Linked DNA regions of Bombyx mori. The protein of the gene in region 1 purifies or fractionates together with the protein of each later gene. This does not show direct contact. Links are inferred from orthologs where the notes say so. Each region holds a gene or a part of one and is shown on either strand. Other genes may lie near its edges.

Region 1 (2,343 bases):
TGTTTCTGAATCTAAGTTTAAGCACTAAAAAATACAAAAGAGTTGTTAGGGACTTTTATTTTGAAAAAAAAAAACATCATTCCTCATTATTCATTCGTACCACTTATGAACTAATCTTATAAACTATCTTAACAATGTACAATGTTTTAATAAACGACGACAAATTACAAAATTTTAACTTTAGCAATTTGAGCATTGAGTTCTGCAATTTTATGGATTGGAGTTTTAGAACGGAAATGACTAACCTTTTTTTTTGAGGCAAATGATTTCAGCTCGGTTAAAAGAGAGTCTGGAGCAGTTGGGAGTTATTATTATACATGCATACTCTATTTATGTAATGCATATTCATATAAAAAAAATCACAAAAGATTTTGTCGAGTTGTGTGTGGCTAGAACACGCATAGGATTATCAAATTGGATCTGTAACACAACAATAGTGTCAAAGATTACTAACTACTCAATTAAATGTGGATTAGAATATATGAGTCGACTATTATCAAAGCCGGCAATCTGACTTTTGGACAATGATTGGTAAATCAGAAAAACGAATTATTGACTTTGTATTCCATTGGCAGTCACAAAACTCTTCGGAACGACATCTTAGATAATAATAGGTTAACTATTAACCTTTATTTAATGCAGGTTTTGAACCGTATTCTTTGAAGGAGACGATTATATTCAAATCAATCTGTATTGACATATCAATAAAAAATTTTTGTCCAAATGATTGCCACCTTTGATAATAGACGACTCATATATTCTTTGACAATGTTTAAGACTCTCTTTGACACAATAGATTAGACATATAAAAGGGTGCGTGTACTTATGTACGCGCGTAAGAAGATTTACTTTATTTTTATTAAATTTATTTTTTTTTTTTTATTTAAATTTTAATCAATTTGAAAAAAATCGATTAAACAACATCCTCAAACACGCATATTTGACATCCCTTTTCTTGACATCGTATAAATTCGGTAATTCTCGGTACGGTTCGGAAAGTTCACCTGCGGCTATATTCAGACTCGCCAAGTTACGTCGGTTGTATTGTAATGAGCGATTTAGTGGACAACTTCATTCTGTTAATTTTGTGTCACGGTGCGCGCGCATCGTAAAATTTCACTCTCATCAATTTTTCATAACGCGCCTTAAAAAGTATAACTTCAAAAAACAGTATTTTTTAAGTAGTTTACGTGCTAAATCACAATGTAACATATTGCTAAAGTTAAAATATTGTAAACGCCATAGACATTTGTCCATTCCAAACGGAACTACATCAAAATTTGAATTTACTTATATTTTTTACGCTTAAAAGAGAACCATTCTCAATTAATACCATGTCCATTTCTTATGACATATTTATGGGTACATGTTACTTCGTAATTACACTTAATATTCTTAGTGTGTAAAGAAACTATTTCAGTAAAATAAAACATAAAGTTTAGTTTGATTTGAAGTTAATATTCAAAATTAAAATTACTATTATTGAAGTTTCTTGACAACACACAATGTAACCAAATTGTCAGAATCAGCTGAGAGACAAGGTCAAGGCCCTCGTGAAAAGCAGCCATATTGAAATTTAATTAAATTTGAAGGTAATCAGTATTTTTCCTAGTTGCCTAAACTTGCCTTGTTATTAAATGTTCACTTTAGATACTTTTTGAATAATCCAGTTTTGTGTTTAGTTTTCAAAATTTTTCCAATAAAGGGTACCATTTTACCAATAAATTTGATATACTTAACATAGCAGTTTTGTTTTTAAATTTCCATACATATTATTGATAAGAGATGGTGGGAATTTTTTTTCTCTAATTACAAATTAGATTAATTACATTTAATTTTGTGAAAATACCTTCTGCTACGAATATAATACTTATTTCATTAATCTTGTTTCTGTTAATTCAATATGAAATCTCCAACTTTTTACATTTATATATCCGATTATTGTATCACTGATAAATGTATGTCGAATTCAAAAAACGCAATTTCTTAATATAAGCTGTACAATGTTGTCTTTCAAATCTAAACGTAACTCAGTTTAAAATCTACAAACTGTTTGTTTTGCAACATCAAATTCATTCATCAACCTCTTGTTTATCTTTCTTCTTTTTCTTTTTCTTCTCTTTGCGCACAGAATCATCTGCTGGTTGTTCTGCTGTCTCTGGTGACTCCGATGTGTCCATAGTGGCGTCTGCTTCGGCACTGGAATTATGAAGAAATTGAATAGATTGTGTAGAAATGTGTATAAATAAAGCACAATAAGCTAGGGCTTTGTAATCGTACAAACAAGTATATTTGTTCTGCATATGACTAGAAGGGAAAGCTTGAGGACAGACAGAAATAGTT
Region 2 (4,361 bases), on another chromosome or scaffold:
ATATAAAATTTCTTATTTTATCATGCTTAAAACATACAAAAATAATAATTAAAACATATTTTATAGGATCTCAAGAAAGTCGTCGGAACTATTTAAATAAAATAGTTTTATAACACTATTGTCAACTCGTTTAATATTTAATAATTAAGTGATTTTAGAGAGGAAGTCACAAGGAATGTTTGTAATTTTATTAACGAATAAATGTTTTGTAGGTGTTTTTTTTATCAGGCGGTCCCTTGATAAGTTTAAAATGGTGCGGCGTACCTTCCTTGAGGTGCGCTGCGGTAGTGTGTTACGGACTTTAGAGTCAGCAAAACAATTAAAATAGATTGTAATAGTCTAAGAAAAACACGTACTCAAAATACGATATCATTCAGCATGCTCGAAATGGGCAGATGGCACTGTACTACGCCATATCTTTATGTTTTGCGGCAAACGACAACTTTATAAAATTAGTGTAGCAAATTTTAAAAATCGTCATATCGTTTACTTGGCAAATTTAAAGCACGAACTCGTCTTAGATTACACATAATATCTAAATCACATCATCTTTGCACATAACAATATACTTACTTCCTATTAAAGTATAAATTCGACAAATACATTCACTCAACAATATTTAAAATAAAATGAGCCAAGAACGTTTATCGATAAAACCTACTAACATTAAAATCATCTGGGCAGCACTAAAACCGCCATCTTTTGTGGCCAGATGACGTCACAGTGGCACGAATTTTTTGTTGACGTTTCATTTCCATAGGTTTCCTACTTCAGTGATTAAACGAGACTTCAGCCACTGTGATGTCTACGCACTCTGGTAACTTAATAGGCTAGCTATAAGGTCGTATAGCTAACGAAATATATAAAAAATAGAGTGAAAGCCGTGGCTGTATGAAAGTGAGAGCTGGTTTGATTAGGGATGGTCCTACAATGTTTCGGTGTTAAAAAAAACGATATTAAAAATTTGTTTATGAAAATCTTATCAAATTCATAGTGAAATGATGTTCTCTTGGTTTATATGTCTATTGTGTTTGAAAAAGGCTATTAAAAATAAGCTTTTCTCTTATTCAGAGTTATTTTTGTTAAAAATACCATGAAAGTCTTTTGAGATAATTTTTTTATGAATGAGGGATTACTGGTGGCCCGGAGGCTTTTCCAATTTCACCAGGACAGATGGGTGAACAAAGGCTCAGCCAGGGGGGCTAGGATTTGCTAACAGCTCCTAAGCGCCTTCAAAGGAGACCTACAACCTAAAAACAGCTGCTTTACGAATGAATCTACTACTAGATCGGAATCGCAACCCGCTGAGAATATCCACCGAGAAACTCAGCGGGCTAACGCATGGATTAGGTGGCACGACGAACTAACTAAAAAACTATCTAACATCGAAACTTAACGAAAACATACATTCGGTGACAGCTGTCAGTCGCGATCATCGAAGTATACGACGAATCAAATGTCAGTGTCATGTCATTAACGTAGTATAATCTGTTTTGTTAAATTTGTTTGGAGACCAAACACGCAAAAGCGCCGCATTTGTTTTTGTGAAAATTACATTTAAAACATAGTTAATTAGTATTAAAACTACCTCACTAGTGTTTAAAATACCACGAAAATGGCTGTAAGTATCTAAGCTTTATGTATAATTCGTAAATAGTGTGTATTTAAACTGAAATCATAACCTCAAAAATTGTAAAATTGGGATTTTCCTTCAGAATAAAAAAGTCATTGTACGTTTTAGTCAATAGCAGCGGCGCAAGTACAAGAAGTGCGTTCTATAACGCGCATCGAGAGAATTGGCGCGCATTCCCACATTAGAGGACTGGGCTTAGATGACTCTTTGGAGCCAAGACAAGTATCGCAGGGCATGGTCGGCCAGAAGATGGCAAGGAAGGCCGCCGGAGTCATCTTACAGATGATTCGAGAAGGTATCCTAAAGGAAACTTTTTGATCAAACAATACAGTTGCTAGGTAACAAGAAATTTTCAAACTTTTTTTTCAATTAAACAGTTTGCGGCTTAGGAGCTAAAATGTTATGTTTATGAACTCGTTTTCTATGGTACTGCTATGTCCTTTTGTTATAATATTCTTTCATCACTTAACTAATTTGTTTAGATAAGCAGTGTAGAGTAATAAAAAACTGAGTGGAACCTTGTGGGCGCCAGTTAAGCGCAGCCCGGTCAACAGGTGAATTTATATCACATACATCTACAATATTGTAATTATAGGTAAGATAGCGGGACGAGCAGTGTTATTGGCCGGTCAGCCTGGTACAGGGAAGACTGCCATCGCTATGGGACTAGCACAAGCTCTGGGACCGGACACACCATTTACGAGCATGGCCGGTGAGTGAAACAATTCCACCATCTTTTTTTATTATTTACATGTGTTTTTTTTTTAATACAACTCACCTTTTTTTTTGTCAGTCCTCAATTTATTTCGTTAGTTTGTTTGCCTTAAATTTAAGCTGCATTATGTTCTAAATACATAATTCAGGCACAGTTGTTTTTTTACATTTAGTTGATAATTCTAAAATAAGTGTTAATTGCATTAGAGAATTAATAAATAAATCAAAATGCATAATTTGTATGGTACTATGTTAATTGTTCCTTAATAAATCAATTTGCGAGTGTGGCTGACTAAAACTTCTGCTGTAAATTAGATATTTTTGTTACCACCATGATCAGCTTTGGTTTCAGCTATCTTCATGAGATTCAAGTTACTTATGGTTAGCTTTGAAAGACGCTCATCAATGAATATATCCTAGTTTCTCACTTTTATATATCCATAAACACAACCCAGTGAGTTTCTCGTCCGATCTTAGCTGATCGCGATTCTCATCCATTAGCTTGGCCATATTTGCTTGCTTATTAGCAAAATTTCTCAGGCTGACCCAATGAGCTCATAAACCGTCCGGGTGGAGCTGAATAGTTCGATAGGAAACTAGCAAATGGGTAGAGTAAAAAATAACTATTTAATTTTATTGAAATAAATTTATATTGTTTTCTCTTTGACAGGTTCGGAGATATTCTCTTTGGAAATGAGTAAAACTGAGGCTCTAACGCAGGCCATCAGGAAGTCTATAGGTATTAGAATTAAGTAAGTAAAATTTTATATTGTTCATTATACATACCACTAACTACTACTACTATTGCACTAACTAAGAATTTGTATGGTACATTGTAAACATATATTACATGAAAACATAAGTGGATGAGGGGGATATGATACAATTTGTTAATTTTGAGAAAACGTTTCTTTCTTGTACTTTTTCTTCGTACACAACTCCTTCCTCAATTTCTAAATATAACCTTTAAACCTGGCGTTTTAAGGTCTAATATGGTTTATAGGCACATAACACCTTCATCCAAAGTAAAAACTCAAAAATCTTAAAAATTGTACTTAACCCCTTCATCCACTCATGTCTTTAATCTATGTGAATTATTGTATGTATATTCGAAATTACTTTTTTACGGTTTTTATTTCATTTTTTCATCGTTGAAACGGGTGAATATGCTCACGGCCCATGGAGGTCAGTGGACATCAATGACGTAATTGTCATCTTGAGACGTGAGTTCTTTAGAACAACGGCTGGCCCCACCCTTCAAAGCGAAACGCATTATAGCTTGAGAATGACGTTCAAAGTTAGTTACGTCGTTTAGACTTTACGTCTTTTTAATGTTTGTGTGTGTGTGTGTTTTTCTTTCCTACCTTATCTGATAGCTTTGAGAGGTTATGTCAGCGTCACCGGGCGAGTAGGTTAGCCCACAGGGCTCAAACCTGATGACGTTGCTAAGACGAACCCTAGCAAGAGCCTAGCTTCTCAGAATCTGCCACCGGATCGCTACCTACTGAGAAGATCCGGCGAGAAACTCAGTGGGTTGAAGAACGATGACCGCTGGACCACTTTCACCCTTCGATATGATTTTTGTACCAGCGTTGCCTTATTGATATTTTATTATTCGTAATCGCAGGGAGGAGTCTGAGATAATTGAAGGGGAGGTCGTCGAGGTGGTAGTGGAGCGTGCGGCGGGGGGCGGCGGCGCCAGGGTCGGCCGTCTCACCCTCAAGACCACCGACATGGAAACGAACTACGACATGGGAGCCAAAATGATTGATTCGCTGCTTAAAGAGAAGGTCTGATATATGGTACTCTGGTACTAAGGTTTATCGACAAAGCGAAAATCTTCCACTGAGTTGGTGATATTGCTCGGTAGAGATACGGTCAGTTTTTTTTTTTCCTACGTACTCTGGTAACGTTGAGAAGCTATATTCACGTAACCTAACAAGTAGGTGAGCTCACGGGACTCTAATACTAACCTTAGCAAGAGCAGTGCTTCGCTGTATCTAACACCGGATCG
Region 3 (2,716 bases), on another chromosome or scaffold:
GGGATTTCTGCTGAGCAAAATCTTGTATTATAGGCATAGTATATGCCTTGTGATTACTGATTTATGAAAAAAGTGTAATGTGCCCGACAAAAATGTTTTGAGAATAAACGTGTGAGAGAAATTGTCGGTCTTTCGGGGCCCCCTGAGAATGAGGGCTCTGGATAAGGGCCACGTGTACCCTTATGGTAAAGACGGTATTGTATACATAGAATAAAGAACCGTGCAATTACGACCAGAATTTTTTGTGCAACTGCAACGACTTGTGTTGCCATACTGAAAACAATGATATATAAAGTGTCAAGTTTAGGATTGCCCTAAACTAGGCTCAAGAGCGATCTGTGGTATCCTTCACTTGCTAAAGATATACCTGCCACAGTATTCAGTTTTCGGTTTTCGGTTTTCTTACTGTGTACCAGTGTATATTTTGAGAGTTTGCGTTACTTTACCTTAATTATGCTATTTAGTTAAAACTGCAATTTCAACACAGATCACTAATAGTCCACTAATCCTATTAACTGTCTTAAAAAGTTTTAACATATTTTTGCATCGTTTTGTACGCCCAAGCGTTTGAAAACTCTTCCAAGGATCGACTTAATTTTTAACAGAATAAAAGCAAATAAAACCGATGGCTGAATGAGGTATCATATTTATTATAGTATAAATATAATTTTTGGATAACCACACGTTCAGTATTGTTAAACAATAACTGCGATAACCGTAGTAAACTAATTGTAATCAACATGTGTAACTTTGACCTCGCAGGGAACGTTGGCCGCTCGACCTCGGATATACAGTACGCGCATTTATTTATCCAACAGAATATTCCTACTGGAAAGCGTTTTCAAATTTCTCTGGAACAACCTCTCTCACGAAGAGGTCAAGGTTACCCAAATTGTGTATTGATAATTACAGAGATTAAAACCTAAATCGTTGTACGCGGCCGCATTAAGTTCCGGGTGGGGGAGGGGGGCGGGTGAGCCAGTGCGGACCCGGGGTGGACATGAACACCGGAGCGTTGGTGCGGAAGGGACTGTGCAGGCGCGGAGAGCTTCCGAACTGGAACAGGCTTGAGAACGGAGGGGGCGCTGCCGGGTTATAGGGGGGCGGGGTGTTCGGGTTGAAGGGAGGGATGAAAGCCGATCCGTCTGCAGAGAGAGGGGGAGGTCTGCCGTGGCGCCTGGACCCGAGCGCGAAAGGATTGCGACCTCTGCTCGGCCCGCTACCGAATCTGCTATTCCACTCCGAAGGCCTCTGGTTCCGTCTCTCGACCGGTTTCCGAACGTTCCGGGACGTTTCTCCGTCGTTCTGAGTGTTCTCGTCTTCTTTGTTTTTCGTCTTGCGAGCCCGCGCCGCCCTGCGCTCCTCTTCGTCGTCGGAGTAGTCGATGTGACTAGGCGGCGGCTCGATGTCGTTCAGCCAAGAAGCGTCACAGCCTCTCACTCTGGAAGGAAGAAGAAAGAAAAATAAATTTGATATAATGATCTCCGATTACTAATGTTACACTTCGATAAAGCCGGTAACTACATTCCCGATCCTGCGGACATAATGGAAAGCAGTCGACGTCGCCCCAAACACGTCATTTCGGATCCTCCCGATCCACTAACGGTGCTTTCGGTACCACAAGCAGCGGTCATCGTTCTCGTCGAACCCGTCGCTTGCGACGAAGGGCTCGACGAGTAAATTAACCCTCAGACACAGCCCACTGAGTTTCTCGCCGGATCTTTTCAGTGGATCGATCGCGTTTCCGATCCGGTGGTAGATTCTGCGAAGCACGGCTATTGCTAGGGTTCGTGTTAGCAACGTCGTCAGGTTTGAGCCCCGTGAGCTCACCTACTAGCTAAGGCTACGCTGATATAGCCTCTCAAGGCTATCAGCTTAAGTAGGAATAAAAAAAAACCTAATGTTATGATGGCACTAAAAATGGCAAAGTAGCACTAATGAAAGTTCAACGGACCCGGGGATCTGTGGTGTCGAGACAACGGGAGGGCCTTATGCTAGTTGACTTTACTGTGTGTCAGAAATACACTATTTATGAAAACTAATTAATGTGTTATGTTCTTTTAAGGTAACAGTTAATTTGGTTTCGTAGTTGGTTTGACGATAATTAATAAATAAAAAACCCTGCAAACAAGTTTCAAATACAAACTCACTTCATCAGTTCTGATATAAATACGTAATTAGTGTGTTGGCTTTTTGGCGCGATGAATACTTCCATCCCGGTTTGTACGCCTCGTTCTTTGACGTGATCGAGTGAGTTGAACCGGACGCAATAGTGCGGCTCCGTTATCTGAAAATTAACAAAAAAAAAAACATACTAAACATATTTTTTTTTGCTTAGATAGGTGGACGAGCTCACAGCCCACCTGGTGTTAAGTGGTTACTGGAATCCACAGATAGACATCTACCACGTAAATGCGCCACCCGCCTTGAGATATAAGTTCTAAGGTCTCAGTATAGTTACAACGGCTGCCCCACCCTTCAAACAGAAAAGCATTACTGCTTCATGGCAGAAATAGGCAGGGTGGTGGTACCTACCCGCGCGGACTCCCAAGAGGTCCTACCACCAGTAATTTTAAAACATTGATATAATCACACAGGCAAAGAATACGGTATAGGATATTTAAATTAGTAAGCCGCCAGTCACATTTATATAACAGTATATATATATTTACCATAAACAAAAAAAAAATAGGACAGTTCAAATCTTTCACCACTG

What was found.
Region 2: the proteins of H/ACA ribonucleoprotein complex subunit 4 (region 1) and ruvB-like 2 purify together in Homo sapiens (affinity purification with mass spectrometry; 5 studies listed by BioGRID and IntAct, counting the BioPlex papers as one, with this or other methods). This does not show direct contact. The link is inferred for Bombyx mori from reciprocal best matches to the Homo sapiens genes DKC1 and RUVBL2.
Region 3: the proteins of H/ACA ribonucleoprotein complex subunit 4 (region 1) and H/ACA ribonucleoprotein complex non-core subunit NAF1 purify together in Homo sapiens (co-immunoprecipitation; 7 studies listed by BioGRID and IntAct, counting the BioPlex papers as one, with this or other methods). This does not show direct contact. The link is inferred for Bombyx mori from reciprocal best matches to the Homo sapiens genes DKC1 and NAF1.

What each region holds. Positions count from the first base shown.
Region 1 is NC_085130.1:16,026,814-16,029,156, reverse strand, and holds part of H/ACA ribonucleoprotein complex subunit 4, read right to left. Parts: intron 2,200-2,343; coding exon 2,073-2,199; 3' UTR 1-2,072.
Region 2 is NC_085117.1:3,009,107-3,013,467, forward strand, and holds the start of ruvB-like 2, read left to right. Parts: upstream 1-1,426; 5' UTR 1,427-1,615; coding exon 1,616-1,621; intron 1,622-1,741; coding exon 1,742-1,928; intron 1,929-2,228; coding exon 2,229-2,345; intron 2,346-3,017; coding exon 3,018-3,099; intron 3,100-3,974; coding exon 3,975-4,137; intron 4,138-4,361. UniProt on the Homo sapiens protein: Possesses single-stranded DNA-stimulated ATPase and ATP-dependent DNA helicase (5' to 3') activity; hexamerization is thought to be critical for ATP hydrolysis and adjacent subunits in the ring-like structure contribute to the ATPase activity.
Region 3 is NC_085109.1:2,572,695-2,575,410, reverse strand, and holds the end of H/ACA ribonucleoprotein complex non-core subunit NAF1, read right to left. Parts: intron 2,288-2,716; coding exon 2,151-2,287; intron 1,442-2,150; coding exon 946-1,441; 3' UTR 631-945; downstream 1-630. UniProt on the Homo sapiens protein: RNA-binding protein required for the maturation of box H/ACA snoRNPs complex and ribosome biogenesis.